Linked DNA regions of Schizosaccharomyces pombe. The protein of the gene in region 3 interacts with the protein of the main gene of each other region in a biochemical or structural test. Each region holds a gene or a part of one and is shown on either strand. Other genes may lie near its edges.

Region 1 (10,009 bases), 3.8 Mb from region 3:
GGGACGTCGTTTGAGTATATAGAAGAGTAGTCAATGGATGAATTAATATTCTGATTATAATAGGGAGAAGCGGTTGCATTATAAGGATCAAAGGCCCAAGCAAAATGTGATGGCTCAGGAGGGGATTCTGTACAGCTGGTGTCCGAAGAGTCACGACCATGGGAGAAACCAGGAACTATTTCCAATTGTAGTTCATTTACATAATCGTCCATAAAGCTTGTGTCAGTTAGAGAGGGAAAAGTAAATTGCGAACAAGCATCGTCGACATTGCAATTATACGCTAAAAGACGGAAAACACGTCGAAATTCCAATTGTATTCCTTTCATGGTAATCTCATCTGCAGTATTAGCTAGATTTCGAGATGTATGGAAAGGCTCTTCAACACACAGAAAATTGTTAAGCTGAAATTGCCATCCTTTTGCTCGTTTCGAAAGAAAGGTACCGTGTCTAATGGATAAAACAAAATGCTCGTAATCAAATAAATAACCAAAAAATCGAAAAAACTCTACGAACAGGATACCAAGAGACTCCTCGTTTTTGTCACCAAAACCATGAACAAGATCTGGATCGTCGAAAAACGACACATCCAGCCCGTCAGTCATAGTAGACGAATCTTGTAAATGAGGAAGCATTTGCAAGCTGGGAAGAATCGGTGGATCGCGCTTTTGTAAAAAGTTTATAACCATACAGCTTATGGTGTAAGAAGTGAGTGTACCGCCCTCGGCAGCGTCATTCAAGCATCGTCTTTTTGCCCAATATTTAATCATAACAATCAAGGGCCGAACTCGGGGATCACAAAGAACGTAAGAGCGCATCAAACGCGTGTTTAAGGTAGATATAGTTTTATTGATATTGCAATCGCATGATAGTTGTAATTCTGAGTCCCAAACCTTTACAATTGGCACTTTAGCTGTTGAAATGCAAACGACCTTTTTAAGTCCGTTCCTAGCAAAGGCAGCTGACACCTCGCAGGTCGTTGGAGCACATTGAGGCGGATCAGTAATGATACACAAATCAATGTCTGATGCATTGCTGGCAAGAAGAGATTGGGTTGACCCAAAAAGGGAGGTTTTGATATTTTTATAGGGGAATTCTTTTTTCAATATTTGTTCGAGTTTCTGCACAAATGCATATCGACGTTCTAAACCCGAGTCGTTCAGTATAATAGAGTCATACAACTCGTACAGTTGAGAAGAAATTAGATCAGTATCAATATCAACTAAATTCTTTAATGATAGAGGATGTACTGGCGGAAGTGGATCCGCACCGAGGCTATAAGGAATACGCCTTCTATATTGAAAGCTGCGAGTTTCAAATTTGCAACCGCCAACGCAATTAGCGTTGTCCATAGTATTAAGAGGGTAAGAAGCTTCTAAGGTTTAATAAGTTGCAAATTCTCTATGGATTCCGACGTTATCCTACCTTGTCAGCTAGTAAAGGCGTGAGTTCTTTGTAATATGATCAGCTTTGATCTGAAACGATCCAGCAAGAACAGTTCAAATGTACGAGCCCTATCGACAAGAAAAGACAATTTAGAAGTACTTCTAAGTTTCAAGATCGTATTGATGAATTAATATGAAGTTGGTAATGTTTGTAGCTATTCTTAGGAAGAGGTGTGGGATAAAAGAACCGCCTAACAGCAATACGTACGTACATAGGTATCAGCTTTCCTACACAAGGAACAAGTACGGCATCAACATAGGATCGGTAAATAAGTAACAAATGAATATACAACGCCGTTATAAAGTAACCTTAATATATTCACGTAAGACACCTTTAAAGCAACGTTCAGCTAATGATATTTTTACAATCTTCAACTGAAAACAATAAACAAAGTAATCATCAAAGAAAAAACGCAAACAATGACGTTGGCATGACAACGAGCATAATTGACACCTTTCTTGACGTTTTGACGTTAAATAGCGTGATTCCGTAATCTGCGTTATTCTATAAACAAACTAGCAATACATAAACATACATGATCAATGTTGCTCCCACAAAGCATGGACTTGACTTTCCAATTGAGTGGAAACGTTCGTGTAATACTTTACTACTAACGAATGTACAGCAGACAATATTAAATAAAAAACGCCGCCAAGTAAGCTATCCATCTAACTCCAAATACCATACAATTGACTCCTTTAATAAGAAACATAAATCAAACAATCTAACGGAATTTGAAATCGTTTCATTTATTCACTAAAATCTACGCTAAAACATGACACAACTTCATCTAGAAATTACATCTATGTCATCAAACGACACCACAGTTGTAATATAATAGATGAAATTAAACACGTCAGAAAACACCAGCTGCCCTACATAATACGACCAAAAGGAAACATATCATGTAAGAGATCATCGCATAGAAAGACAGCAAAACAATTAGGTAAAAAACCTAATCGAAAAGCATGCCTTCAAAGAATTAAAAGTCCTCACTCTGAGGGCAACGGTGCCTCCTATCATCATCCGTGTTGAGTTCTGTGGCTAGGTTAGGAAACCCAAGCCGGACGTATACTATAGAAATGATCCTATGGAGTATCGTCGATAGTGTTTTGTTGAGGATAATGACCCGTATATATAGTAAATATAACGGAAAAGCAGTCACATTCATTTCCAATCAACGAATAATGTTGAACTTTCAAGTATAATGCAGTGTCAATTACACTATATTAAAAAGACTTTGCAAGGCGGTGAAGCTGCTCTTAAATTACAATAAGCATGAAAATCATATTTCGGTAAATTAGTAAAAGAAGTCATGAAAATAGAGCTTAAGGCCGAGAAAACAAAAAAAAAATTTACAAATTTTTTAACTAGTTAGAAAAGGTTTAATAAAACTGGTAGGCTCCTCTATTCTATAACTTGTAATCGCCGACAGCCATGGCTTTAAAAAGTTGCTACTTGTTGTTACTTGTCATTAAACTGGTGAACACTAACTCCTTTAGAAGTTCGTACAGCAATTTGCACTTCAACCAACTACTTGGCAGACTTAAAAAACATGTCTGATACAACTTCATTGAATGTGTAAGAATGACTAAGATATATAAATAACTAATTCAGTAGTCCAGAATTGGAGTCTCCCCCTATTGAGCGGGTGGAATTAGAATCTTTACTTGTAATGAATATCATCAAGCACTGCCGTGATTCTTTTCCTAATATGGGAACAATTGGTAAGTGTAGTCATTGGAGAATAAGTTTTCCCTATTTTTCGAAATGATAAAACTTGCAATTTTTCTGCATCAAAGATGCAGCTATGCATTTGTCAGCTCAGTAATGCTCTACTTAGTGAAATTTCTTATCAACCACAGTTTCTCTCTTGAAATAATATTTTTAACTAACTTTCGTTCAGGTCAGCTTGTTGGTATTGACATTGATGGTGTTTTACAAGTCAGTAGCAGCTTCGAGTCTCCGTCTGTTCTTGAAAATGAAGAGTCTGCTGTTAACAAGTCTGTTTCCGGTAAAGCACGCCAAGCTCATACTGAGGCGATGCTTAATCGTCTTCAGTACATTGGTGCTGTTACTGGTCACGTTGGTTGGTATTTGGGAGCCTATGTTAGTTCATTCTTAAGTAGCCCCTTTTTTGTAGAAACGCAATATGCTTATCAAAAGGCAAACCCCAACAGTATCGCTTTTCTTTATGATTTGTCTCAATCTTCTAATGGAACTTTGTACATGCGTGCTTATCAGTTAACTCCAGAGTTTATGGCTGCCCATGAGGAAAAAACTTGGACCGCCTCCTCCCTCAATAGCCACAACTTGACTCCTTCCAATGTTATCCGTGAACTTCCTATTGTTATTCACAACTCTCATTTGGCTACCTGTTTGCTCCACTCTCTTAGTGAGCCTCCTACTCCAGCTTCTACCCTAACCGCCGAAGCTGCTCTTGAAGATTGTGAAAGCAACTTACCCTTGACTGAAACGTTCAGTAACTTTGAGGTTAGTTTGGGTACCAGATATAGAAAGAATATTGAGTTATTATTGGAGTCTACTGATGAGTTTCATTATGAGCAAGGAAATCTTGGATTTCATCAACGTCAACTCGCAAGAGAGCAAGCTAAAATTCAACAGTGGATTGCTAAGCGTAAGGCCGAAAATGCAAATCGTGCTGCCGAAAATTTACAACCTTTACCTTTAGACGATTGGAAGCGAATCTTCAAGCTCCCTGCGGAGCCTCGACTTCTTGACTCTCTATTGATTAGCTCTCAAATTATGAAGTCTACTCAAATAGATGAACAAAGTTCTGCTTTCTTGTCTAAGCTTGCCGGTGTACGAAACGCTTATGCTTCTTAAGCTACTGATTGGTAATAATCGCTTAAATTTAGCGCTAATTATTTGTGAATCTGGTTGAAAATTTTTAAGGACTTTGATCTCTGTGAAGCGGTTGCATGTATTTGTTTATAAAAAATGGAGCATTCTTCTTCACTCTCACTAGTTATACCTCGTAGCATTAAAATAAAAGGATCTACTTAATTATAAAAGTTGTTTTGGTTTTCTTGATACAGCATATTGGTTTGTTGAAATACAATGTGCAAAAATATACCATGATTGTAATTATAAGAAACAGTTTAATCTTCAATAGTGCATTCAGTTGCTGGTAATCTACTTGTTTATCGTATTCGAGTTTTAGGTTACATTGCTAATTTAATATATTTTCGGGCCCTTATACAACATCGAAACACTTTTCTATTAATAAAATATATTGTTAAATTTTGTTTTCTCTCTGTTAGATTATTTAAAAAAAAAATCGTAAATATTGCCGAGACCTTTTTGTTTGTTTTGACTTGCTTCACGTTACAATGTTGACTTGGCCAAAACCAACAAATTCCAAATTCATTCAATTCGCAACTTGCAATGGAAGTTCCTTCTGCAGTTACCCTAAATAATTATGTGGGTATGAAAACAAAAGAATGTTGATAAAGAGTCAAAACTAATGTTTATAGGGTTCGATTCTATCACTTCGCAAATTAACCGCAAGTTAATTCGTCGTGGTTTTCAATTTAATGTAATGGTGGTTGGTACGTATTATTTTTATTACAGATTTTCAATTATAATGATGTTAACAGTTTCAAATAGGACCGTCAGGTAGCGGAAAAAGCACTTTGATTAATACTTTATTCTCTGCGCACTTGATGGACAGTAAGGGTCGTCTGGATTACCAAGCTCCTTATCGCCAGACAACTGAAATCCATGTTACAAGCCAAGGTATGTTGATTTTTTTATAGTTAGGTTTTCATCTTTGATTGAACTCATTGAGCTGGCTTCAATGAGTCAGCAATCCTTATATTTATTATGGTTACATTGCTAACCACATAGTCGTTCGCGAGAACCGTGTTCAATTACAATTAAATTTAATCGACACTCCTGGATATGGAGATCAAATTAATAACGATAAATGGTAAGTTTGATCAGTGGAAATGGAAATTTCTATTCCTGCACAGCAATTTCTAACTATAATAGCTGGGAGCCTATAATTAAGTACATTAGGGACCAACACTCTTCCTATCTTCGTCGTGAATTAAATTCACATCGCGAGAAACGTCTACAAGACACAAGAGTACATTGTTGTTTATTCTTTATTCGCCCAACTGGACATTCTTTGCGCCCTATTGATATTGCTGTCCTCAAACGCTTAACAGAAGTCGTAAATGTTGTGCCTGTTATCGCTAAGTCTGATTCATTGACTCTTGAAGAAAGAGCAGCATTTAAGCAGCAAATCCGTGAAGAATTTGTTAAACACGACATCAATTTGTATCCTTATGATTCTGATGACGCCGATGAGGAGGAAATTAATCTAAATGCTGCCGTCCGAAATCTTATTCCTTTTGCCGTGGTCGGTTCCGAAAAAGCCATTATCGTAGATGGAAGGCCTATTCGTGGTCGTCAAAACAGATGGGGGGTTGTCAATGTGGATGATGAAAACCACTGCGAGTTTGTTTTTCTTCGTAACTTTTTGATGCGAACTCATCTTCAAGATTTAATTGAAACGACCTCATACTATCATTACGAGAAATTCCGCTTTAAGCAATTGAGCAGCTTAAAAGAACAGTCTTCCCTCGCAACTAGAATGGGAAGTCCCGCACCTGTGTACCCTTCTGAACCACATCTCCATACAGCCACCGCTCAATAGTCTTCTTCCTAAGGTAATATATAGTATGTTTAGAACAAAGACTAAACCATTTGTATGACTGTCGTACCGTAATTCGTAAATTTCGGCTCTTTTTACACTATGCGAATCTTACAAATGAAGTGTTTATCTTATTAACGAGAGATTATATGTTTGATGCGTGATTTTGTCTAGCTATTATACAGTTCTATATCAATATTTATTGAAAAGCATCAAAATGATTTTAAAATTAAAGTACTGGTCGATTTAAGACATTGCAATCCATAAAATGTTCTAGCATCAATCTTCCGAAATGAGATTCGATTTGTGCCCGAAGTTTAAATTCTTTAGAGTTTGATGCAAAAACATTTTGTAGAGATAATACGCATAAATAGGAAGTGCGTAATACTGCAATATCTGTGCATTCTTCTTGCATTAATTGCTGTAAGCCAGAAAGAACGTCATTATTGTTTTTGGTAACGGCATGTCCTACACAATCTATAACTTTAGTAAGAGGACTTCTTGATGCTGAATACAAGTGCACATGATATTCATCTCGCCAAGCAACCATTCGTTCTCGATGCAAATCATCAGACAAGGTTGGTTGAGAGAGAATGTCCAATCCAATAGTAAACAAAGAATCCGAAACAGGTGCATGACTTCGAGAAACAGAAACTTCCGATAAAGGCTTTCCATTAAACCCCCAGATACACCCACGAGGAAGAATTGCAAAAACTAGTTCACGAACGACCATAGCAATCAATAAGCTGACATAATTTGATTTGGTAGACGAAGACCAACTTAACTTTCTAATAAAATTATTACAAAAATTGAGATCATAGGCTGGGAGATTGAGCTGAGTGAGAGTCAAAAATGCAGAAACCAACAGGTATTCAAAAGAATTGGGACCAGGCATTGGACAGCGAAGAGCTCTGGTCAAATGACTGTAAGCACCAAAAACGTCGAGCTTCTTAATAGACGCAAAAGCCATTAAAGAATTAGCAATACAAGGCATCGATTGAGCAAACTGGGGAACAGTGACTGACCAAAAATGCAAGGCTATGTTATTATCAAATTCAAATGCACAAATAGAAGGTACGACATCGTGAAAATAAAACGGAAACAGTTCGGAATTAAAGTTTGAAGGGAAATTGGAAACTGATGAAAGAAAAGGGTAAGAGGCCTGACCCACCGATTGTACAGAGGGTTTTGTAGACGAAGTAGCGCTAGAAGAATTATTTGTAGGAACGTTATGATTGGATTGAAGGTATTGATGCTGTTGATAAGCACTTGGAAATCCTTGTAAATTCATAGGTTTTTGATGATCCTGTTTGATTGGGGTAACGGTGGATAAATTGGAGGAGGAGGTCATCTGATTAAGATCATTTGTATTAAAATTGGATTGTGAAGAGCCGGAAAAAGTGTCTCCGGTTTGAGCGCTACTTGAAGCAATTGAAGTAGGTATCAATGGCTGTTGAGCAGAATGAACGCTTAGCTCAGGAGGCGATACACTCCCCATGGCTTGCATTTGAGCAGCTGAATTTGGATAACCTTCACATTCCCTATTTGTCTTTGTGCAGTTCAAACAAAAAGGTTTGGTTTCGTCGCACTTGATCCTGCGACGGCGACATGTTAAACATCCAGTTTTCGTTCTTCTTTTTGTGGGCTTGGGCGTAGGCTCGACGTTTGGGTTGGGAATATATAGCGGATTTGAATTAATACTACCCGTTCTATTCCGTTTCATATGAATTTCGGGATAAGAAACATACGGGTTCATAACTGCAAGGGAAACAATAGATAGAAAAAAAAAGAATAACAAGATAATAGGAACTAAACAAATCAAAAGTAAAGAAAGCCCGATTTGAAAACGCTACGCTGCTTGAGAAAAGCGCGCAAAGAAAAAACGCAAGCACAGAACATGAAATTGGAAGCCGATTTATACAAAATTTAAGCTCCAATTTAACAAGGAAACTAAGCACCTTTTTCGTAAAGGCCAAGAAACTCTTTGTAGTCTTTTTTTTAAAAAAGGTAGCGTTACTAACTCTATAATTATATATATATGAATACAATAAATTATTTCAGAATAACCGGACGGCCAAACTGTTCGTAATAACAAAAGAAAAAGCCCTAAAAAAACAAAAGAAGGTGAAAATCAATGGTCGTCTAGCAATTTGCTAGCAACTCTTGCACAATCAATAGGTTTATAGGAAGTGACTTGAAAACAAAACTAGCAAAAGCGACAAGCTCACCCAATTTACAAATGCAAATTTGGGTGAATAAAGGACTTAGAAAAAATGTTGGAACAACTTTCAAGTAGGAACCTCGACATTAGCGAGTGATAAGGCGGCAAATTTGATAAGCCCAAAGGCAACAACAATACTAAGAGCTTTTTATTTAGACGTTAGTAAAGTAGCTTGCTTGATACGCATTAGTACAAAAATCCAAAGAATTGAGAAAATCACGAGCCAAGCAAAAACAGTATAAGAACGATTAACTTGTTTAACCTCTAATGTTCTTTTAAAAATAAAAAAAAAACACAGATGTTTCGTTAATTTTTTGATACTTAGATTATGCCCTCATGTGTTTCATAAATAGCATTCCTTGCTTTTCGTTTTTTTCTGTTTTTTTTCTTTTTCTTTCAGACAATTTATAAAAAAAATTCTTTGCATGTACCTAAATATAGTTTGCATTCTCATTTAGGTTGATCAAGTTGGTTAATAACCACGTGGCTTCGAATATCTGTCATGTTCAGGAGCCACATGTCTCTCCATTGTTACAGCGATTTGGTTGATCTTTACATGGCTTACGCATACGAAGATGCTTCCTGCATTTTTTTTTTATTTCAAATCGTTCATTCACTCTGCACTAGCGAAAATCTTCATTCATATGCAAACTTGTCACTCTTTTATATTAACAAAATATAAACTTAAGCTTGAATACAACTGTTAGCTTTGAACGCTACACCTACCCTAGTACCCTAGTAGCTTGATAACCATAGCGAAGATCCGTGGCCTATTGTCGATCTCTGGGAAACTGTCACTGGATCAAAAGCATCATGTTTCTTCGCTCGGTAAGAAAACTATACTCCAGATTTATGAGAAAGGCACAAAAAGCATCAAAACCTATGCCAATGCAAGTCTCACAAAACCAAATTATCCACCCCTAAAGGTGGAATTGTTCGTTGTTCGTGATGCGATTATTGCTTTATCAGGATGATTGTACTTAATCTCAATCAGATCACCCCAAGGTTAGTCGGCTTTGTCAAAGGTCTTACCTTTTATTGAAATCCATATCCTCCTGTAACAATAGGGGATTCACTATTCATACCTAGTTCACCCATTTTTCTCATTTCACTTCTTAAAGCAAATAACGTATAATAACAGTATTTGTTTACTGATGAGATTAACATTACCCGATGAAGAAAACCAACTATGGTACAGCAATAGGTAGTTAAGAAAATACATGAGATCGTAAATACCAAATGTTTGCCAATTATGAGCGTGAATTAGCATTAGTTTTTTTTTTTCTTAATTCATCTGTGTTTCAATAATACGAATTAGATTGATAAGTTTTTTTTTTTTTTTTTTTTTTTTATAACTACCTAGTACTCTTCCATGATGCGAACATTATAACAACAATGAGACCAAAATATCTTTAGCGATTGGAACAACAAGGTCACATTTCGGAAAAATGATTTGCCAGGCTGAAGATTTATATTAACCAACTTGTTCTCATTAAAAGCCAAACTATTGAATTTACAAATTTGTTATACGAGCATCAATCCTATTATAATAAAATCGACTCAAGTTGAATTGTAGCACATATTATTTATTCACGAGTCATTAAAATATTAGTTTAAACGTGTCAATTATCTTCCCATTAGCGCCAAATCCAAATAAATAAATA
Region 2 (10,539 bases), 620 kb from region 3:
CTTTACCGACATCATAATAACCTCTTCTGTTTTGGTATTGCTTTTCCAATTCCCGTTTTTCTCGAAGCCGTCTTATATATTTGTCAAAAGCAGCCATCCTGTGTTCCTCGGAATGGAGCGCAGCAAATTCCGGTAGAATAGAAATTAAAGGTCTAATTTCATCGTAAGAAGCATCGGCAGAAATTGGAGGTTTAAGGTATTTAATGGCACTTCTGAGATTATCAATTTTCCTTCGAATGCGTCGTTCATCAGCACGCTTTTCCTCAGCTTTTTTGTGGATCGCTTTATCACGTAATCGATTAACAACTTCTTCAATAAGGTCTTCAGTTACTGCCTCACTTTCCTCTCGATCTTTAAGCTTTTCTGATAACCTTGCTATAATTTCAGGAATATTAGATGTGTCATCCACAGATATTTGCAATACTTCAAGACAGTCCAAAACCAAATTACGCTTTTCCCGATACATATTCTCCAAATCAACGATCGTATCCCAAAATAAATCTAATGGTGTAGAGCCAGATTGCCCTAGTAAGTTAAGATATCTTGGATCATCCTTGATTATGGGATATAATTCTTTCCACTTCGTGCGTAATGTAATCTTCTTTTGCACGCGTAAGTCTTGTAATAGCGCACGAAAGGCATCACGATTTTTCCTTTCTATACGATGCTTTTCTTTCTTCTGCTTTTGTTTGTCAAGAATATATTCGCGTTCCAAATGCTTAACATGATCTTCAAATGCTACAAGAGCATCTAATTTAGAAAGATATTTCATATTTGAATTCCTTGTATACCTTGGATCTTGATCAAATTTTGCTTGCGCAACGCTCCAGCGGGTGTAAGGCTCGAAATTCATGTTTCGCAAAAGCGAACAAAAATCATCCAATGCTTCCTTTCTGCGATCCTTTTCCAACTGCTTTTCATCCTCTAAAAGCTTTTGCTTATATTCAAAAAATAGTTGTTGTTGTTCAGTTTCAGAAGAAGTAGCGTTAAAAGCAGGATGAGAAGAAAATTCATTCTTCACAGTACGCCACAAAGTATAAGAATGAATTTTATCACTACTTTTTAGCATCTCAATAAACTCCTTCCTAATCTTAGTTACTCGGTTCTTTTCTGCATCACTTTGATCGGTCAAATAGTTTAAGATGTACGCATCGAAAGCACATTTCCGATGCCAAGGATCCTTCATGACATAATAGCCCTTAGCATCACAAAGCTCTCGGACAGTCTGCTCCCAAGTCCAGCTTGGGTTGACATTATGAGAGTCTAAAAATTTAAAGAAAGCGCGCTCTGCGGCTTCATAGGTATCATAGTTTTCGTGCTGATAATCATTAGAACGTTTTTGGCGCTTATCCTTTTGTTGAACAAAGTTTATAGTTCGTTTATGACTGCCTTGTGAAATTTGTTGGCTTTGATCTTTAGCTGGTTGACTTGAAGGAGCAGCAACATCCGGACCATGCCGTTGAATGCTTTGAACAGCTGGCTTGTTGTCATTGCTTTTGATTTTAGACGACAAAGCCTTTTTTTGCTGTTCCGGTTCATCAACAAGGGCAGCTTTATATTCATCAGGAATATCCCACACTGATTCACGGGTATTGACATTATACCAATACTTTTTGCCATCAGCGGTGGCATATTCTTTCCAAGCTAGTTTCGAAAGCTTTTTTTCAAAGTCATTCATTAACTCCTCTGGTTTTTCCCAAACACTTTTGCGCGTTACTGAGTTGTAGTAATAAACTCGAGAATCTTCTGTCTTCACTTCATGCCAGTCAGAGGCCACAGTCTTGGAAGGAGCTGCTGACGGCCCTTCCTGATTAGACGTGAATCCCTCAGTTTCATCGTACTCTGAAGTTTGCCATGGAGGTGCAGACATCTTCACATTTATGAATAACTCCCCTTAAAATTGGGGTTGTGGTTTAAGCCAGCGTGTAGAGTTACACTCACTGTTCACTACAAACGGGTGTGGTGGTCGAGTCTATATGTGGGGGACTCGTTGTTTCACTGTATTATCAACTACGTAATATCTAATTGATAATAGAGATACGTTAGACTGTGGTCAGTTTAGAATACATTTACTATATTGTTGTAAACAGGTCTTGAGAATAACAGACTTCAAAGTGAGTTAATTTACAAGCGATGCTATAGCCGTTGCTAAACAACTTATGACTGAGTTGAAATATGGAGTGAGTTAAGCTGTATCAAGAGAAATTAAACTAATTTTATACAAGAAGTAGAAAAAGCTATATTGACATCGTACTTATATTAGGGGGTATTCAAAAAAATGAATGTTTTTAGTGACGTTTAACGTAAATTCTGCAAGACTTAAAGATTTAAACAGAGCGTGTTATTCACAGTTAAAGTATTTGTTGTTAAAAGTCAGTAAAATACTTAGGGCATCGCATGGCGAGTTATAAGGGTGCATACGGGCACAGGTAAGAAGGCATAGGATAAAAGAACACGACGTTTCAAAAGACGTTAGTCTTTTTAGAAAAATGGTTAAGGTGGCAGCTTTTGTTTGTGGTGTTGCCAGCAGTGGTAAAAGTACGTTTTGTGGAGCATTAATGTCTTATATGAAAAGCGTTGGACGTTCTTGCCATTTAGTTAATTTAGATCCTGCTGCAGAAAACTTCGAATGGGAACCAACTGTTGATATTAGAGACTTAATATCCATTGATGATGTTATGGAAGAGCTGGACTACGGCCCTAATGGTGGGTTAATTTATTGTTTCGAATTTTTGATGGAAAACTTAGATTGGTTAAATGAAGAAATTGGCGATTACGACGAAGACTATTTAATTTTCGATATGCCTGGACAAATTGAATTGTATACTCACGTACCAATTTTACCAGCATTAATTCGCCATCTTCAAGTAACCCTAAACTTTCGTCCTTGTGCTGTCTACCTGTTAGAAAGCCAATTTCTCGTTGACCGTACAAAGTTCTTTGCGGGTGTTTTAAGCGCAATGAGCGCAATGGTTATGATGGAAGTCCCGCATATTAACTTATTGAGCAAAATGGATTTACTCAAAGACAACAATAACATTACAAAAGCGGAATTAAAAAGGTTTCTCAATACAGATCCACTCTTGCTCACAGGTGAAATTAACGAAACAACAAACCCAAAGTTTCACGAACTTAATCGGTGCATTGTTCAACTGGTAAGTCACAGAATCATAATTCCTCGAGCTTCTGCTAATGACTAGATTGATGACTTTAATATGGTCAATTTCCTTCCTCTTGAGAGCGGAAACGAGGAAAGCGTAAGCAGAGTACTTAGTTATATTGACGATGCTACCCAATGGTACGAAGATCAGGAACCAAAAGATCCTGATCGGTTTGAAGCAGATGATTTAGAAGACGATGAATAGGGAGATACACGTATAGAAGGGTAAAAATTTTGGAACCGGTGCATAGATTCTTATGATGTTAATGAAAGTCGAAGAGTTTCAACGTTTGCGAATTTTATTTATAAATAGTTTGTAATTTGACACATCTCATTTGTAAAGTTTTAGCATAGTAGTTTGAAGAAAACAATTAGATATTTTTTTGTTTAAATATAAATAAAATGTTTTGTAGGAACTTGAATGCATTTACTGATTATACAATTGATGAGTACAACAATGGTTTTAAATCCGGTTCCAACAAAGTACACAGTACCAACAGCACTATGTGAAAAATGGTTTAAATAAGAAATGGCTATTCATTAACTAATCATGTACAAACAATGTAATCAAAAAGCTTTGCTAAAATTCGGCATAGAATTCTTTAAAATTGTTTACCGAGAATTTCCGTACGTAAAATGAAGTGAGTGACATGCAAAGTCATCAGCCAAAGCCAAATAATCAATTATGGGACAAGTACTATCAATATGTAGTTCCAAGTCAAAGGAAAAAAAAGTGGTGAATGAAAAACCAACTGTAAAACCAAAGCCTGCAGTGAACGTTCAAAAACCAGCAAAAGCCATTACGAAAGCTAGCTCACCTCCGCGTACGGGCAGAAAACTAGCGGAAACCGGTAATACATCAAATAAAGAGCATTTATCCCCCACAGAAGCAGCCCGAGTTGCAGCTGAGGTAATGAATCTGACAAAAATAAATGAAACCCAGATTTTACATTATTGAGAATCATTGAAGTAACTAACTATTTTTTTTAGAAGCGCAATATTGAGAAGAAAAAGGGAAATGGAAAACTCGGTAGGCAATTGGAAAAAGAGCGAGCAAAGCCAATGAAAGAGCATCTTCAAGACATTTCAACACAACGACAACAAGAAAGGGAACAAATCAAATGGGATTAGTTAAAACAGAGTTCGGTACACCTGTGGTGTTGGAAGATAAAGGCGAATTGTTAATAGAATTTGTATTCGCATTTTCAGTAGCATACTGAGACTTCCATACCAAGTCTTTCCAATCCTCCGAGTCAACCTCAATGCAAACAGGGGTAGAATAAGAATCTGCTGATTGCCTCTGGAGGGGAGTGTTTCTGTTTTGTGGAGAACCAAACGATAATCCGTGTTGAAAGGAGTATAATGAATGAGAAAATCGAGCAATCAACCTTGATCGTTCATTCTCTAATTGCCGTTGCAAGTCTTCTTGCCTTTGCCCTTGCTGTGTATCACGGGAATCCTCTGTTATGAGATCAGATGGTTCCTCGTCTCCGTCAACATTGGAAAGGCCCGACTGGGAAGCTTGAATATGAGATGCTTGAGTTGGGCGTTTGTTTGAAGCAATTAGAATAAGCGCCATGAATATTTGTAGACAGAAAAGTACAAGATCGGACGTTATAAAATCTATACGTGAAGATTCATTTTTTTCTCCAATGAAATTGATAATAGAGCCACCATACAAATATCCATCCAAGCTTTCTCCTGCAGTAGGCAAATTAAAGAACATACGCACCATTAAAGATATTAGAAAATTAAGCAGAAGCGGATAAAAAAGCGGTAGAGCGTTTAACTGAGAGAAAGGTTTGGGGGTAAGGTAGCTCTAGCAATTTATGTTAATACATGACTAGAAAAAAGCAAAATCATGAACATAGCATCTCTGGCTTTTGTATAATGAAAAATAAACTAAATACTGGAACAACTTACCAATTGAACAAAAACCTTGAGTAACAGCAAGAGAACTGTAGGGCTGACAAGAATTAGATTAGTGATTTCTACTATAGAATCCAGAAATTTTGCTTACTCTTGAAAATATTGTTGAGCTATAATTGCATAACACAGCATATCTAGCGATCGAAAAAAGCTGAACACTTCTCCCCGCTGATCTAAGACAATAGTGTCCATGCCTAATTTGTAGAAAAGTAACACAAAACAAGAATACTTTTGAGAGTATCAGAAATTACAGCTTTAAACAAAATCAATGAAAACTTTGTCAATTTCAAATATTTAGATATTAATTTGAGTCAAAAGTAAACGCAGAATGAATCATGCCAACAAGAACTTGCTGCGGTGGAGGAAAACGATAATGCCAGAACTGCTCAAGCTAGAGGCTATTTTGGATTAGGGCTTTGAAGCGCGTAAACTGCAAAACTATTAACGAAATCTTGAACTTCGATACCATTAATAACGCATCATTACATTTCGTTATGTGAGCAAACGCTTCTATCTATCTAACCTAGTAGGATTTGAAGAATTTAACCAGCTTATAATTTTAATTGTAAACATAGGGGGAATATTGTTTTACAATTACTGGTATAGTTCGTTGAACTAAGAGATGGAAAGAAATAATGGTTTGGGCGACTATACGTATCGCTATCATGGGAAGGAATTGAGTTTGGACGATTTTCAGAATAAACAAGGAATTGAATCCTCAGATGATGCATTTTTATCAAAAATTTATGAAAACGTTTCGAATTTTAATGGTAAGTAGTGTTGAGGAAGTTTTGCTTCTTTGGTTTTTTTGCGTATTTGATTTTATCGACTCTAACTGACATAATACTCAAGTTCCCAGAAAATTGCATGATATTGAACATAAATTTTCGAAAGAAGAGCCGAGTTTAATTCTTCATATTCATAAATTTCATTTTCGGTTTGAGCAACAAGATGGCGCCTTCACCTATAATGGGCCGGTAAAATCAATTTTGCAATATATAAGGATGGAGCTTATACCACCTGATTGTCTTGAAGTATTTCGGAATTCCGATGTAAAATTCTATGATGGTTGCTTAACGGTTCGTATAATAGATCATCGGCAAAGTCCTTCTGCTGATCAGACTGTGCAACCTCAGCCTGGCTCTACTAATCAACAGCAGCAAAATAACACCAACCCAATTAATAATCAACCTGAAGATACCAAACCCAATACTAATTCACCTCCAGTGTATCATACAGTTCTTCGTCCTACTCCCGAAACACTTTGGCAAGATTTATGTTTACTTTCAGAAAGCTTTGCTAACTCACTTTCGGATGAAGCTGTTTTGACTTTGGAATCCAACATTCTACTAGCGTCAGAAGCTCCACTTTTCTTAACTCCTGCGAAGTCTAAAGCGGAAATGATTCAATTTATGAACCAGTTGGCCGACTCTGCACCACCATGCACCAGAAAGAAACCTCAAGGATCAGCCCAACTTGCTGATGAAGAAGCAGAAAGACTTGAAAAAGAGAACCTTTTGTTACTAATGGATGACCAAAGAAAACGCGATTTTCAACCTACCTTTCAAAGACTACAATTTATTGAGAATGTGCGGCGTAAACGAGCTATTCTACAACAAAGGCAAATGCAAATGCAACAGCAACAAAAAGCGCAGCAGCAGCAATCACCGAAAGCTCAGCAACCACCCGCACATTTGGTTCAGTCTGCTCCAGTTCAAAGAAAAACTACACCCAAAATCCAACGTCTACCACCTAGTAGTATTCAAATTCCCCCTCCGAAACCTATGCAGAAATTCCCAGCTAATGCGGCATCTTCTGAATCGCCCCCCAATGCGACTGGTAAGTGTATTAAAGGCTTATTTCAGTACTTTTTGAGTTCAATTCAATTTTATTTTAATTTTGTATTTATTTTTCTAACAGCTTTAGGAAACTTTTTACCTTCGGGTCCTGTACCTGCAAATGAACCTATGTTAAAACGAGAATCCGTGGATTTGATAAAAATACGACAACTTGCAATTTTGTTTCAACAGCGTGCCTCTCAATTAAAAGCTAGAGGTGCTACACGGGAACAAATTACTGAAATTCTGAATCGTCAAGCAATAGCCGCTGGTACTGATTTGGCAACAGTAATGACGGTTGCACGAAATCTTCATTTTCAACAACTCCAAATGAGACAGCAGCAACAACAGCAGCAAATGAAGGCTGAAAGGTAACTCTCAAATGCTTCATCATTTAATACACGAATTTAGTTTTTTATTTATTATTTTTAAAATTTTATTTTTTTTGTTGCATAAATACGTTTTTTTACTTCACTTCATTTTCCTCTATAAAAACTTTTTTGCTCATGGAACAACTTGGCGTTTTCACTTACCAGTGTGAGATATGTAATGTAGCTGTTTCTAATAACACCCAGTTTTAGGTAAGTAAAATTAATATGTTATTTGGATATTTTTGTATGATGACTATAATTTGCGATTGAGCGATGGTATTGCTCGGGATCTTGCCTGATTCCCATATGGGCTCCATCAGTATGCGACAAATAATCTTCTGATTGATTTCCATTACATCAACTGCTTTTGTTAATACGAATACCTTGCTAACTGTTTTAAGTTTTAAATATTATAATAATGGAGTTAAAGAACGTCCTGTTTTTTATGAACGTTAGGTAAGGCAATTTAATTTTCAAAACAAATAACCGTTCTGCTTTGCAATTGATGAAATATTTGCTTATGATCAATAAATGATTCTTTTATTATCACCAAGATCGCTGAGTGCTAAAGTTTTTGGTTATTTTATTTGTTTTAAATATTTTCGAGTTATTACTAACCCATAGCGATATGAACTTTTTTAGATGTATATGTGTATAACCTTGTATATATGTATAACTTTTTTGCATATATATGTACATGCGTTTTCATCTGTAATTTATTCCCCTTCGCTTTTAGCTAATATTGATCTATGAGTATATATTTTTAATCTAAAAATTCCTGACTAATATCACCTTTACCTTGATTAGTTTAGACACACTTTGTAGAGTAAGTGCACGAAATTTTTATTATATCTATTTCAAAAAAAAGGTTGGCTGACAACGGTTTGATACACAGTATTAGTCCATGTCCGTCTCAATTTTTTCCATATCAACCAGCCGCTCACCCCGAGCGATACGGCCAGCTTCAACGCGATGATCAACGCCAATTTCGCATTCACGAAGTTTTGACTTAGCGCCTATTTGAGCACCTGAGGCGACTATGCAAGATTCTAAACGTACTCCGTCTTCAACAACAATGTTGTCCATCAAAATAGAGTTGCTGACCACTACCCCTTTTCCAATTACACAATTTTTACCGATAATGCTCTTTTTAATGTTGCTGTTATCCTTAATGGTGGTACCTTCATTCACCATACAATCGGCACCGACCAGTGCTCTTTCGGACACGGTGACATCTACAAGGCGTTGTTCTGGAGTAAGTTTGGCGATCTAGTTTGCTGTTAGAGATATTGGATGAAACTGCTAAAAAGCGAGATGAAGCTCAGCTTTCGAAAACATACGCATTTATTAAGTTCGAAATAGTTAGGTAAATTATTAGCCCTAGAACAAATAATCCCATCTTTGGCAATTAAAGCATTAATTTTAATTTCCTGTGAGGATAATCCCCCATCATAATTATCAATATTGTTAGGAGATGACAAAACTTTAATTGTTAGAAAATAGTTAATTAAAAAAAGCACTTACATCTTTGAATGTTCTCTCGTACAGTAAAGGATTTCTGATATTGACATTTAACAAGATACGGGATGAGATCTCCACGAATGCTAGAAATAGATTCTTTCTCCCGGATCAAATCAATAACCCAGTGTTTAAATACAAATATATGGGCATCCGAAAGGTTTGTATTTAACGTAACCCTTGGGTGTTTCCACAACAAAGACATTCTAAATGTAAAATCACTGCCCACGTCTGCGGAACTTTTGGCATACAATAGTCTGCTCGTCTTCTCTTCAATTCCAATCAGTTGTTTTGCATCAATCTCTTTAGATTGACTTGTAATATGCTCATATTTTAACACTGGACTATATACAGCCAGTGCTGAAGGGTTATCAAGGCGAAACTTATCCAAACCGTATATGGGAGGGAGACCAACTATACTATCACAACTGAGACACACAAAGTCATTCTGGTGGGTATCGGTTAGCATTTTTTGTGACTTTAAGACGAGTAATTAAATTGCAGAATGAGAGAGAAAAGATCAAAAAGTCTAAGAACACATGCATATCTACTTATACATAAAAATAAATCATACCTTTATAAGATGGGATACAGCACGAAGAGCATCGGCAGAGCTTTTAGAATCATCTAAAATAGTCGGTGCTTCCACGTGAATACGCATATGTCCCTCGTAGCCAGATCGTAACCAAGCATTGATATGGGCTTCCGCTTCTTCCATGCAAATAAGAATAGCAGAAGTAAATCCAGCAGCTTCAAGCCAATATAATGGGTAGTGAAGCATCGGTTTATTGCCGATAGGTAATAAAGCCTTGGGAAGTGCATCGCTTCCAGTCAAAGGATATAAACTAAAACATGGTTAGTATTTTCTTATTGTTATTTTATCTTTTTTAAGTGTTGATGAAGATAATATGTGCGAAGTCATCATTATCCAAATCGTTAAGTAGTCAGTACTACACTTGTTTGTTTTACCTATTGCCAAATCCTGCAAAAACAACAGCTTGAAATTCAATCGGAATAGACTGTAATTGAATATTCCCCCGATTTCGTCCACCAGAAATAGGTCCAAGGATTGAAGGGCTACTGGCTAAAGGAAGTGCAGCATGCTCATACAACGACATTGTGAGATGTTGTTCTTCAAGGCGTTGGATGCTTTTACAAAAGGTTTTTACCTAAAAGGATGCTTTGAAGCCAAAATCTTTTATAACCTGATAGAAGACGAATTATTGGGTTTTTTTGCAGTACGCCAATATTTGATGAAGATGGAAAACCTTACTTTCCTAGATCCCTACTAACGAGCCAAAAGTTTACACGTTACACATCACTATCTGAAATAAAAATGTGCTGAATTTATATTTGTGTTTAGAAAAATGTATTCATGAAATATGAACTATTGATGATTTTTTTTTAAAATGATTTACCAACTCAAAATGTGGAGCTGCTTGAAAACTAATTATTGCTTTGCACTTGTAATTTTGTTTAATGTGCAATATTAAAAAAGATGTTTTAATAATCAACGATTTATAAATCGGTACGTTTTCGCGATCCTGGTTTATAATCAATCCGATAGTAAAAAATATCAATCAAGCGCTCAGAAAATGATCCTCTGTACACCAATTAAGGAACAAATATTTGAAGCCGGTTAGTAAACTATTATTTTGAGGAATCAGAAGATTAGAGATACAGTACATTGTGTATTGTTTTCATTAGTTTTTTAAGTTTAAAA
Region 3 (10,810 bases):
ACCAACGAGGGAACTTTTGCTTGTAACGTTTGTGGAACCGAACTCAAAGACGATGAGGAGAGTGCAGAAATGATGTCTAGTCAGAAAAGGCTAGGAAAACTGATGGGACAAGTTAATGGTATAATCGATGCATTGAAAAGGGTGGATGAAATTGTCGTACCACAAAACAATTTCCAATCTGCTTTAGAACATGCGGTTCCTGTTTCGTTAGACACCCAAAATTTGTCGCAACAAAACTTGTCAAAAAGTAATTCAGACGTCCGTCTTTCCACCTCTTCGCCATCTATTACAGTTGATTTCTCTGCTGATAAAGAGACTGATGAAAAGCGTGAAAGGAATTGCGACAAGCAAGTCAAAGCTGCTCAAAACATTCTTCCCGAATGGCATGCAACATCAACAATTTCTGGCTCCATTACTCGTGCTGGAGCTAAAGATGCCGCACTTCATAGTTTTAGAACTGAAACTGTTAATGAGGTTCAAGACACTAAAACAGATATTACTTCTGAAAAGAGCGCCTTAGATGCTTATTACGCAACACTTCGTGCAAAGCAAAAAGAGGAAAGCGAGTTTATGGACAGTGAAAACGTAGATGATGAGGAGGATGATGACTTCTTAGACGTTACGACGGCTACCTCTCTTCAAAACAAAAGTACTGATTATGGGTCGGTCAAGCGTAAAACCGAGAACCTAAATTCAGATAGTGATATCCAAAATAAAAGAACAAAATCGATAGAAGAAAACAATTCATTACCACCTATTGTTTCTACAAATGGTATTACTGATGGTGATACGGAAATGCAAGAAAGTAAAAAGAATGTTATTATTAATGGATTTAATGAGGACGATGAAGACGATGAAGATGAAGCTGATTTTGAAGATGTTTAATAAAAATGACATAGGGGAGAGAGCAATGTGATACCAAAAAACAAAGGTGTTTATACCTATGTATTCATAGAATCTTTTTGTAATAAATAAATGTTAATTTATTTTTTTAACAGTATTCATCAGTGCACGTATCCTGCTAACTATAATGGCAGCTTCCAAGGCGGACAAAACTTCAAAATCATACCTGAACTCGTTAGCTTATTAGCGTTAAAAAATTTCTTACCGCTTAGTTTCCCTATTCTTGGACACAATCATTTTAAAATTACATGGTGATTTTTTAGACTGCTTGCATAAAATAATCGATCCAGCATGTATACTGGACGTCTTAGGCGTTTCAAATATATTTTTGGATTCAGACGGCATTATGTGAACGTATTCTCCATCAATAGCTAGTAGACGCTCATGTCTTCCCATAAATGAAACAGGTTGTCGTTTCCATACAAGAAATTCTTGATAGGTATTGCTCGACATAATATCTGTTGCATTGTATGTTGAAGATTGTGCATCTTTCTTAATAGATCCATAAACGGAATTTTGTGGTGAGGAGGTTGGCAATTGTTGGGTACTTCCTTTTTTATCGCGTACCTTCTTTTTAACAAGTTCTAGAGTTGGATTTCCGTCTAGTGAACTAAATGTTTTATCAAGTGGTAAAACAGTATCAGATCCAGCAACTCGCAGAGTATACTTAAATCGCTCCAATTGCTTCATCCAACACACCTGGTTCAACACCATAGCCAATCTAGTAGTTTTTGATATTTCAATATTGCAAAATCGAGCATTATCCCCGTATGGGGGAAGTCGTACCTGTACGACATGAGAAGTATTAAGTGTATCTTTGACATCCTGAGCTTGCTTTTGTGATTGACTTGAAGTTGAACTAGTATGCCGAATATGCGTTTTGTTATTGGCTTCAGGAATTGATGTTGGATGCTTCGATTTAAACGGGTAGGCAGCTTGATTTTCCTTTATTTGGGCAGGAGTGGCTTTAACTAAAGCAAATGCGTCAAAACCAAATTTTGATAATGGACCTACACGGTCCAAAGCGGGAAAATCTTCATCTAGCTCCCCGTCATCTTCAACAATACGTAAATTCCAATAATTCGGATTTTGAGCCTCATCTTCTATTGGGGGCACGAGTTGCTGGTTAACGTATTGAAGTAAAATATAACCGATAGCCTCAGAGACCAAAACATTCTTTCGGAGTTCTACAAATAAGGGCTTTGAAGGACTTTCGCTCGAAGGAAAATAAATGTTTAAACGGAGGGCATTTGATTCTGCATGTCCAGAAAAAGTAGCAAAATTTTCAGCCAATGGCCCATTCTGGCTACTGTTTTCTTTATGTTCAAGTAATGCACGAAGAGCAGATGTAGGAGCCTTTGCGTTCGAAACAGATCTTGCTTTATTGACTGTATTGTGTGTTCCGCGTTGCTTACCAGGAAAAAGAGCATCAACCGCAACAACTGCATCAGCTTCAGTGTCAGTTAAGGAAGAATTCATTGGAAAAGTAAGAGGAATTTCTCCTTGACTTAAATGAAATGATTCCTCAGAAATCGACCGTAGATCATCATAATCCGTAGAAACACTGCTTTGCTGGTTTATGGAAGACTGTTTGGACGAGGTTAAATTCACTGCCTGCGAGGATTCTACCATGTTGGTAAGCTTAAGATTTGCGATAGCATCAATATTATTTAATGTGGAAATTTTGGGGTCCAGTCTTTCCTCTTCTTTTATACTTGCAACATCCTTCTGCATTGGGACTTTGCTAAAAGAAAATATACACGAGTTATCGTCATCACCCACATCTGAAGATTCGGATAAGTCAGAAGTAGCATAATCAGAATCTTCAGCTCGAGAATGATTAACTTGACCCCCAGCACCATTTACTTGTTTAGTATCACTCGGCTTTCGGACATTGGATACAGTGTCATTAGCGACAATCGGGGGACTTGAAGAAAACGAAGTTTTAGAATAATCATAATCATGAATCAACAAGTCTTGCAATGATTTGTCCAATTCCCATTCCGGGGCCTCAGTAGATATAACTCGATTTTCGATTGAGTCAGGAAGTATATGAGAATATTGCATTCGCAAAAATGTTAACAAAAGACTGTAAAATAAACGTATTAGTTTGTATAAGTTTCATAGGAAAAAAAATAGTATCCTTACACTTTCTCTCTTGTTAATTCCATTCTGAGTCCTTATTATATCGCATTTACAGACTTTATAAAATATTTAATTTCAACGAAGTTTGAATACTTAGCGACCATACTTTTTATGGCACCTTAATATAGAAAATTTGTAAACTCAATTATGTGAAACGTTGGTGACGGACGCCGCGTGCTTTATTTCAGTTGCTATGTATCCCCCGCTAAGCATTTAATTAAGTGTTGGGGGTAACACCGTAAAGTACCACCAAATTTCAAAAGACAGCAAAATATGAACGAAACTATTAATTCAAACAGTTATTAACTGAAGTACAAAAACGCTAGACAATGAAAAAAAGTGATCTCATATACGTTTTAGATATTGCGAAACAGCTAAAAATGGTATTTGAACTATATAGCAATTACGGTATTAATTATTTACAGAATAATGTAATTAAATTATTGTGGAATTTTTATTTTTTGAAGTTTCTCAAATGGCAAGCTTACGACTTAATAAATTCACTCGACAACGCCAAGCTAGAGTATTTTAAGGAATTTGATTTATTTACAAAGCCAAGATAAACGTTTTGAGACAACTTATTTTGACAACGTTTCTTCGGATCAAGGGAAACTTTCAAAAATGAAGTATTTTGCAACTGAAGTATAAATATACATGGGGAGTAGTAAGTAATTGCTATCCGATTTTTAACAGCTTATATAAAACGAGCTCATTTCAACCGAATCTAGCTTCTCGATGGTAGATAAAATGAACATTATGTATTATGCGAGGGAAACAACAAAACCAATGAAAAATGCAAGACGATATAGATAAAGGAGAAGATAAAGACCAAATGTGATTTAAATAGAAAAAGTGAGGTCGAAGCAAATGGTCAATTTAAAAACTCAGCGAAAGAAATGATTTGGTCCAATTTTTGTGAACCATTGAACATTGCCCCAAATGCTGACGAAGTGTAGACATCCACTCATCTTTTTCGCCGACGGTTTCAGCGTAAAAATCGATGTAGTCCCCATTACTGAAAATGATACGGAAACCCGATTCGAAATACAGATACCCTTCTAGTTCTTCTTCATCACTATAATGGTTGTCATCCACGATATGTGTGGCTTCAGACAAATCAATCGTTGCTCTGCGAACTTTAGAGAATTGTTGAAAAGCTACTAACTTTGATCCTATTAATTGAAAATAGCGACGACGCCAATAAGGGCAATCCCCACCTTGTTGACATAGATAACCATCACACAATAAAGTTCTATCCCATTCAGCAAGCTTTAAGTCATACATGGCAGACTCGATTGAAGCGGGAAGTTCTTTCAGAGAGACAGGAAGCGCTGGTAAGAAAAATACGTGGATTTCGAGTTCTCCTACTTTTCGAGGGAGAGGCTTGACATCTTTAGCTGCCGGATCAACAGTCCATTTGTTCATGATTGGTAGAACCATAGATTGACAACGGCCTAGTGCGGTTCGGCTTACAGAATCAGTGTTAATGGTAACTTCGCCGAAAGTTCCATCTTCAGAAACAAATCCATGAAGTGCTTCTGAAACGGGGTCGGTAGTCATAGACTTTCTCTTATTTGTTGAAAATACTTTTCCAAGTGTAGAACGAGTGCGAACCTTAGGTGGATCGTAAGCCGCACGGAGCGTACATACAATTGAAGAACTAATACTTTCATCAAAAGTATACTCATTTTCAATTTTAGTAGTAGAGTGTAAGGCGTTCCATGGTACTTGAATGTGCTTACCAGAGATTGTATAAGTGAACCTAGTGGTCATCCCCGATGCCAAAGGAATAGTTAAGTTTCTGATTTCCATAAGACGGACAAACAATCTTCCACTCCCGCCGGTTTGTTGCAAACTACTGGACAAATTTCGCGATAACGATTCTGGCATATAACAAGAATTGACAACGCGCCGCGAAGTTTGCATTTCTTGTTTCTGACTAGTGGCATGTACAACTTTAGAATTCTGTCGTAGCAAATATGTCCTAGTCAAAGCGTCAAAGGCTGAAAGAACATTTGTAAAGCGAGGATCTGGTAAAGAAACCACTTTTGGAAGAAGCGGTATCGGAGCATTTTCGTCAAGAACATGAGGGGAATCTAAAGAGGTGATGGAGCTCGTAAGTGGCTCTTCGTATTCATGAATAGAATCTGAACGGTAGATATCAGTCCTACAATTCTCTCGGTTCTCATCTGCGAATGATAAGCGAGGAGGTGTCTTTATATCTTGGAACGAGGACGAATCTTCAGAGAAACCAAAAGATGCAATACTGTTTATACCTTCGCCAAGACCAACCATGTCACTAACACTGCTAACTATACTGTTCGTAAAACTAGTGTCAGATGAATTATGAGAGTGAGTAGGTAACTCAAGTTTGACAGGTGGTGAAATTGAAACTTCTTCAAATTCAGCTGGCAATGTGTCCTCGTTAAAAAGCTTTGAATTACAAACGGAACGAGCAGGATTTTTTTTAGGAATTGGTATGTCGCCATGGCCCTGGTTAGATGAATTACTCTTTATCGAGTTGCGTGGAGTCGAGCTACGACTGCTTTTATTTGAAGCCTCATCATCAGATAATTTGATCAAACATGAATCGTTCAATGACAGTATGTTCTCTTTGTTTACGTCTTCAACACTTGTACTACTACTATCCGTTTCATTCATGACAGAGTAAGTTGGGGTCCTACGAACTTCTGTAGAAAAAGGAAGAAGAGACTGATGATCATCAAAACTGGAAGAATTTGATAACGTTTGATCATAAGGGAAACTATCGCCATCTTCAGCATCCTCAGATTCAGCAAAAGAAGGGGCCGTAGACGAGATGTTACTGCGATTAAAATTTCTCATTGTACTTTCTCGAGATATCGATGCGATTGTAGAGGCATAGTCAGAACATTCGTAATCAGTACTTGGGATGGGAGAAGGAATTCTCAATGCTCTATGGATGTCAGCTAAATACATTTTAGCATGCTGATCCTGTTGAGAAGCAGTCATCAACATTATGGAAAGCCTTGGAATTTAACAGCTCTGCTGAAATTAGAATATAAAAAAAAATAAAGGCACAAAGAATTAAGGGTTTTTATTTAATTGGTATTCGGATTACAAGGCTATTCCGTATGGATTATTGTATACAAATAACTGAAACAGTTTCAGTATATTCCAGAAGGTACACCGAATGTGAAATAAAGAAATTCAAGTGTTTTGGTAGGCGCGTTGCTTAATATAAAGGAAGGAGGCGAGCATATGATTGAGAGGCTGGTAAATCCATTTTCGGCAAAGGTGGCTGGTATCACTCGAAAATCCAGTTTTCCAGCACAGAAGCGAGAGAGTGGTTACATCAAGCGGATCATTTAAACCGAAGTCTAAGAGCCATTGGTGGACGCAGCTAGTTTTACAATCCCTTGTTAGACCGAATTGTCGCATATTACTGTTCTTCAAAAGCAAATCCACAATGTACGCAAACATAAATCAGAGTCTAATTAAGTCAGTAAAATTGTTTTTAAACCTAAATATTAAAATTGTTTTCTCAATGAAACAATGCGAAACACACCATCATAGTATCACCCCGACGAGAATGAGTCTGATAAAAAACTGCTTCATGTTGATGACAACGCGGGCATTCTTTGTCTGATCTAGGTAAAGTAGGGTCCGTTGAAGCGTCGTGACTGACCGTCGTGTTTTCTCTACAAATTTAGTGATTATTCGAAGGATGAAATCTAACTTACACATTGGAGCTTTGTAACTCATGGCGATAAACTTTACTAGTAGCAGCGATCTATACAAATTAGCTGATGAGATATTTAAAACTTCCAAATGATGAGGAAAAAAGTAATCGAAAAGAACTTCGAATTTTTTTCTTGAAGTGAATAAACCCAGTAGGAGAAAAAAACAAGCTTACCTCTGAGTAATCACAATTACGACAAGCTAGCCTCAGAACACGATCCACTTTATCCTCTCTAGGGTACCTATTTATTTCATGTTAGTGTTTTCAAACAATTTTCAGTGTCATCTTTTTGAGAAACTAATCCGTACAGCATATTATTGCATTCTATACAATATTGAAAATTTGACATTTTAAAAAAGCAAACAAAAGTATTTTACTTCAACGCAATAAACTTTCAAAAGAACGTGGTGGTTAGTGGATATGGAAAATACAGTGGACAACAGCGTCCTGATGGTTCACATCTATAAGTTCGAAAAAGCTTTTGTTTATCTACAACGTCTCTACAAGATTTCGTTAAAAACTGTGTAGCTGCTTTAAAATTTATTTGCGATATACTTAATATTACTAATTATATAGAAGATATATTGACTTTAACGTGTAGCATTATTCAAACATGGACTAGTCCTACAAACTTGTAACATCATACTTCAGTATCTTACATTATGCACATCAGCGAGTAAAACGGTAATTTACAGTATGAGTTTGATTTTGGAATTAACGATCCCTTAGCATATGCTTTAGTCGAATTTATTTTCGCTTTAAAAGAAGACTACAAAAATAGTTAAACATTTTTAAGCATAACTTTAAAAAATGTCGGGGTTTTGTGTTCTTGGTTGTGGTACAATGGGAAAAGCACTTTTGACTGGAATCTTTGATTCCATTGCTGAAAATGGAAACGATGTTTCTGACGAAATTATCATTCCGAATAAGTTCTATGCTTGTGTCAAATTTCCTAAAGAAAAAGAGGATGTTCAAAAGCTTTTCGGAGATCGTGTTAAAGTTGTAATGGGGGCCAAAGAGAATGCCGAGATGGCTGCGATTAGTAACGTTTTGTTGTTGAGTTGTAAGCCTCAGGCCGCAGAGGATGTTTTGAATTCCCCAAAGATGAAAGAAGCGCTCAAAGGAAAATTAATTTTGTCAATTTTGGCTGGCAAGACCATCTCTTCATTGCAAAGTATGCTTGATGAAAGTACTAGGGTGATTCGCATTATGCCCAATACTGCTAGTCGAATCCGTGAAAGTATGAGCGTAATTTGCCCGGGACCCAACGCAACTGAAGAAGACATAAAGTTTGCTGAATGGGTATTCAATGGCATTGGACGTTCAATGAAACTTCCCGAAAAGCTTATTGATGCTGCTACCGCTGTATGTGGAAGTGGACCTGCTTTTGTTGCTACTATGATTGAGGCTATGACAGATGGTGGTGTAATGATGGGTATTCCGTTCCCTCAGGCTCAGGAATTGGCTGCCCAAACTATGGTTGGTACAGGTCGTATGGTTTTACAAGGTCAACATCCTGCTATGATTCGTAATGATGTTTCAACTCCTGCCGGATGTACAATTAGTGGTTTGTTGGCATTGGAAGATGGAAAAATTCGAAGCACAATCGCACGTGGTATAGAACAAGCAACCAAGACTGCTTCTGGCCTGGGTAAATGATACTAGCAAATTCATTTTGTGCTATTAAATATCCTGGTTCCAAACATGGATTTGTATATAAAATTCTTGGGTTAGTACTTCTGTTTCCTCTTTAAAGCTAGTTTCGTTATCTAGTTGTATTAAAGCGTTGTGACTTAGTTTCATTCAATGATTCCTCTGTTTAAGCTTGCAATTCTGTTACATTACTAATAATATGCGTATTCGAACAGCGAGATTATATTTCATTAACTTTTTAGAACGTTGTATGCAATTAAACCCATTTCATTGCGATTGCTATCGTAGTGAATTTAGCTAAAGGTATTCAATATTGAAGAAACGTACTATGTTTTGATTATTTTAACATTGTCATAGTCGTACCGATGTAAACAAAATCACCACCATAAACAGCTCCCGTATTTTAAATTTTTATCCTTAATTCGACTCTACTTTTTTTTATTAAAAATACTTAATTGTACAGGTATCGAATCTTAAAATTCAACCTGCTTAAGGAGGACCAAGGAAATTTGCAAGTTGTTCTTCGCCATCCGAACGTATTCGAATATGAAAGTATACATTAATGTGTATGATCTAATGCCAGACAGTCCGGTAAACAAACTAGCATGGACTCTTGGACTTGGTATTTACCATACAGGATTGGTTTTAGAAGGTAAAGAATATGCGTTCGGAGCACACGAAATTCCTGGCTCCACCGGTGTGTTTGCTACCATGCCAAGACCGCCTTTAGAAGGGTGTAGATGGCGCTGTTCTATTGCTTTACCTAATTGTACCCTCCCTAAACCCGACGTGGATAGAATTTTGATTCGTTTGAGTCAAGAATTTACGGGGTTATCATATTCTTTATTAGAGAGAAATTGCAATCATTTCACGAATGCTGCAGCAATTGAACTTACGGGCAGCCCTATCCCTTCTTTTTTAAATCGAATTTCTCGAATTGGATTGGCGTTTCCTACGATCACGAATGCCTTATTACAGCACGGTCAAAAAAATACATCCGACGTTGATGATTCCTCGGATTCTTCTTCAGATGTAGATGAAGAAACTTTAATCGTATCAAAAAGTAAAAAAGCTCATAAAGATATTCCTAAATTTTCCGCACCTCCTCCTTCTGCTGACCTCAATAACCTCATCACTGATTCACTTCCTTAAGTCGCATGCTGTTAGTCAGCCTTTTAACCTACGAAATACAACACACACATCCAAAATTGTAGATTTTATTTATGCCTTGTTCTATCAATTAAGTGTAAAGTCAATTTGGGACTTTTTTTTAATTACTTGCTTTCTGATATATATCTCTTTATTCATCTTTGTTTGGTATTTTATTGTAGAGTGTTTTTTTATTAGTGATTATAATTAACTCTACAATAATGGCTGAAAATGAATTGAGATTATTAAACAATGCAGAGCTGAAGCTCGCTCTAGCGGAAAGCGAGGACTCCTTTCAATCGCTTGTGTCAGTTTTTTTATGTCCGATTTTACTAAAACTCGATTCGCCTCATGAAAGTGTGAGAAACAAAACAATTTCAATTGCAAACCACATTATGACTAGGCTCAACAATAACGCGCAAGCCATACTACCTCTTGAAGCCTTAGTAAGCCAGTACGTTGAAGCAAATCAACCTTTGCGAAAAAGATTTCTCCTTGCTTTCATATCTATAGGCGAAAAAAGGATACCTTGTTCTGAAAATTTGGCCCTTCTCCAGATTTGTCTAAATCATGTCAATGAATACCCATTAGTATTATTGACATTGACAATTCGTTTACTTCGTTTTTCAAAGCCAACTTCGGCTATTACATGCTCTAACGATGTCATTTTATCTCTTTCTTCATTCTATTTGATTCAGAAAGATCAAAGGATTTTTAGTGACCTGCAATTTTCCCAAAAAACAGTAGATTACCGCTTGAGTCTGCTTCGGTGGATTCATTTATCTAGCTGGCCATCAAATTGGAAGTGGTTGGCTTACTTTTTTGCCTCTGCTGATTCTCATTCTGAAGTTGCCCGACTGGCAGATGAATTTACGCGTGATAGTGGATTACCTGATCTAGAGAATTTGTCCCACGTGAACGTTCTATTAGACATAGCGCTTGATAAGTTTCGAATCGAAGCTTTGCACGCAAACTTTTCTGTTTCCATTAGCTTAAGGAACAAGGCAATTCAGCATTTACTTAAAAGTAAAATTGCTGCGAATACTGACAAAGCTATAAATTGTATTGAATTCATTCTTGAAGCACCTCCTAGTATGCAACCCCGGTTAATACAGTTTACTCGTTGGGTAGTTGACAAAGCTGATCCAAATTTTCTTAAACCTAAAGCTGCGATGATATTGGAAAAAATTCTTAGCATCTTATCGAGTAATATAATTCAGAGTGATTTACTTAGAGGAT

Evidence for each region.
Region 1: the proteins of mid2 (region 3) and spn2 form a complex in vitro, tested with the Schizosaccharomyces pombe proteins (one study listed by BioGRID).
Region 2: the proteins of mid2 (region 3) and spt20 form a complex in vitro, tested with the Schizosaccharomyces pombe proteins (one study listed by BioGRID).

What each region holds. Positions count from the first base shown.
Region 1 is NC_003424.3:985,399-995,407, forward strand, and holds spn2 (mitotic and meiotic (sporulation) septin Spn2), read left to right. Parts: upstream 1-4,806; 5' UTR 4,807-4,851; coding exon 4,852-4,891; exon of another isoform or gene 4,892-4,940; coding exon 4,941-5,015; exon of another isoform or gene 5,016-5,073; coding exon 5,074-5,202; exon of another isoform or gene 5,203-5,313; coding exon 5,314-5,395; exon of another isoform or gene 5,396-5,457; coding exon 5,458-6,127; 3' UTR 6,128-6,353; downstream 6,354-10,009. Other genes in the region: cytoplasmic poly(A) polymerase Cid13, read right to left, coding at 1-1,349; tif308 (translation initiation factor eIF3h (p40)), read left to right, coding at 2,999-3,024, 3,064-3,170, 3,350-4,290; DNA-binding transcription factor Moc3, read right to left, coding at 6,354-7,880. UniProt on the Schizosaccharomyces pombe protein: Plays a role in the cell cycle. Involved in a late stage of septum formation leading to the separation of the daughter cells. Involved in the correct orientation of forespore membrane extension during sporulation. Binds phosphatidylinositol 4-phosphate.
Region 2 is NC_003424.3:5,366,943-5,377,481, reverse strand, and holds spt20 (SAGA complex subunit Spt20), read left to right. Parts: upstream 1-5,637; 5' UTR 5,638-5,711; coding exon 5,712-5,859; exon of another isoform or gene 5,860-5,941; coding exon 5,942-6,928; exon of another isoform or gene 6,929-7,015; coding exon 7,016-7,302; 3' UTR 7,303-7,508; intron 7,509-7,699; 3' UTR 7,700-7,754; intron 7,755-7,795; exon of another isoform or gene 7,796-7,842; intron 7,843-7,922; 3' UTR 7,923-8,082; downstream 8,083-10,539. Other genes in the region: U1 snRNP-associated protein Prp40, read right to left, coding at 1-1,870; GTPase Fet5, read left to right, coding at 2,490-3,155, 3,201-3,365; protein new13, read left to right, coding at 3,846-4,070, 4,151-4,291; DSC E3 ubiquitin ligase complex subunit Dsc4, read right to left, coding at 4,278-4,979, 5,084-5,126, 5,181-5,281; translation initiation factor eIF2B gamma subunit tif223, read right to left, coding at 8,196-8,567, 8,639-8,781, 8,823-9,264, 9,391-9,661, 9,786-9,934.
Region 3 is NC_003424.3:4,745,215-4,756,024, forward strand, and holds mid2 (septin ring organizing protein), read right to left. Parts: upstream 6,240-10,810; 5' UTR 6,046-6,239; coding exon 3,925-6,045; 3' UTR 3,647-3,924; downstream 1-3,646. Other genes in the region: transcription factor TFIIE subunit Tfa1, read left to right, coding at 1-885; MAP kinase-interacting protein Sin1, read right to left, coding at 979-1,069, 1,109-2,992, 3,052-3,074; DNA-directed RNA polymerase II complex TFIIS subunit Rpb9, read right to left, coding at 6,470-6,520, 6,596-6,728, 6,771-6,820, 6,944-7,010, 7,078-7,118; pro3 (delta-1-pyrroline-5-carboxylate reductase), read left to right, coding at 7,580-8,428; sdu1 (PPPDE peptidase family protein), read left to right, coding at 8,969-9,574; proteasome assembly chaperone Ecm29, read left to right, coding at 9,793-10,810. UniProt on the Schizosaccharomyces pombe protein: Responsible for the proper stability and function of septins during cytokinesis.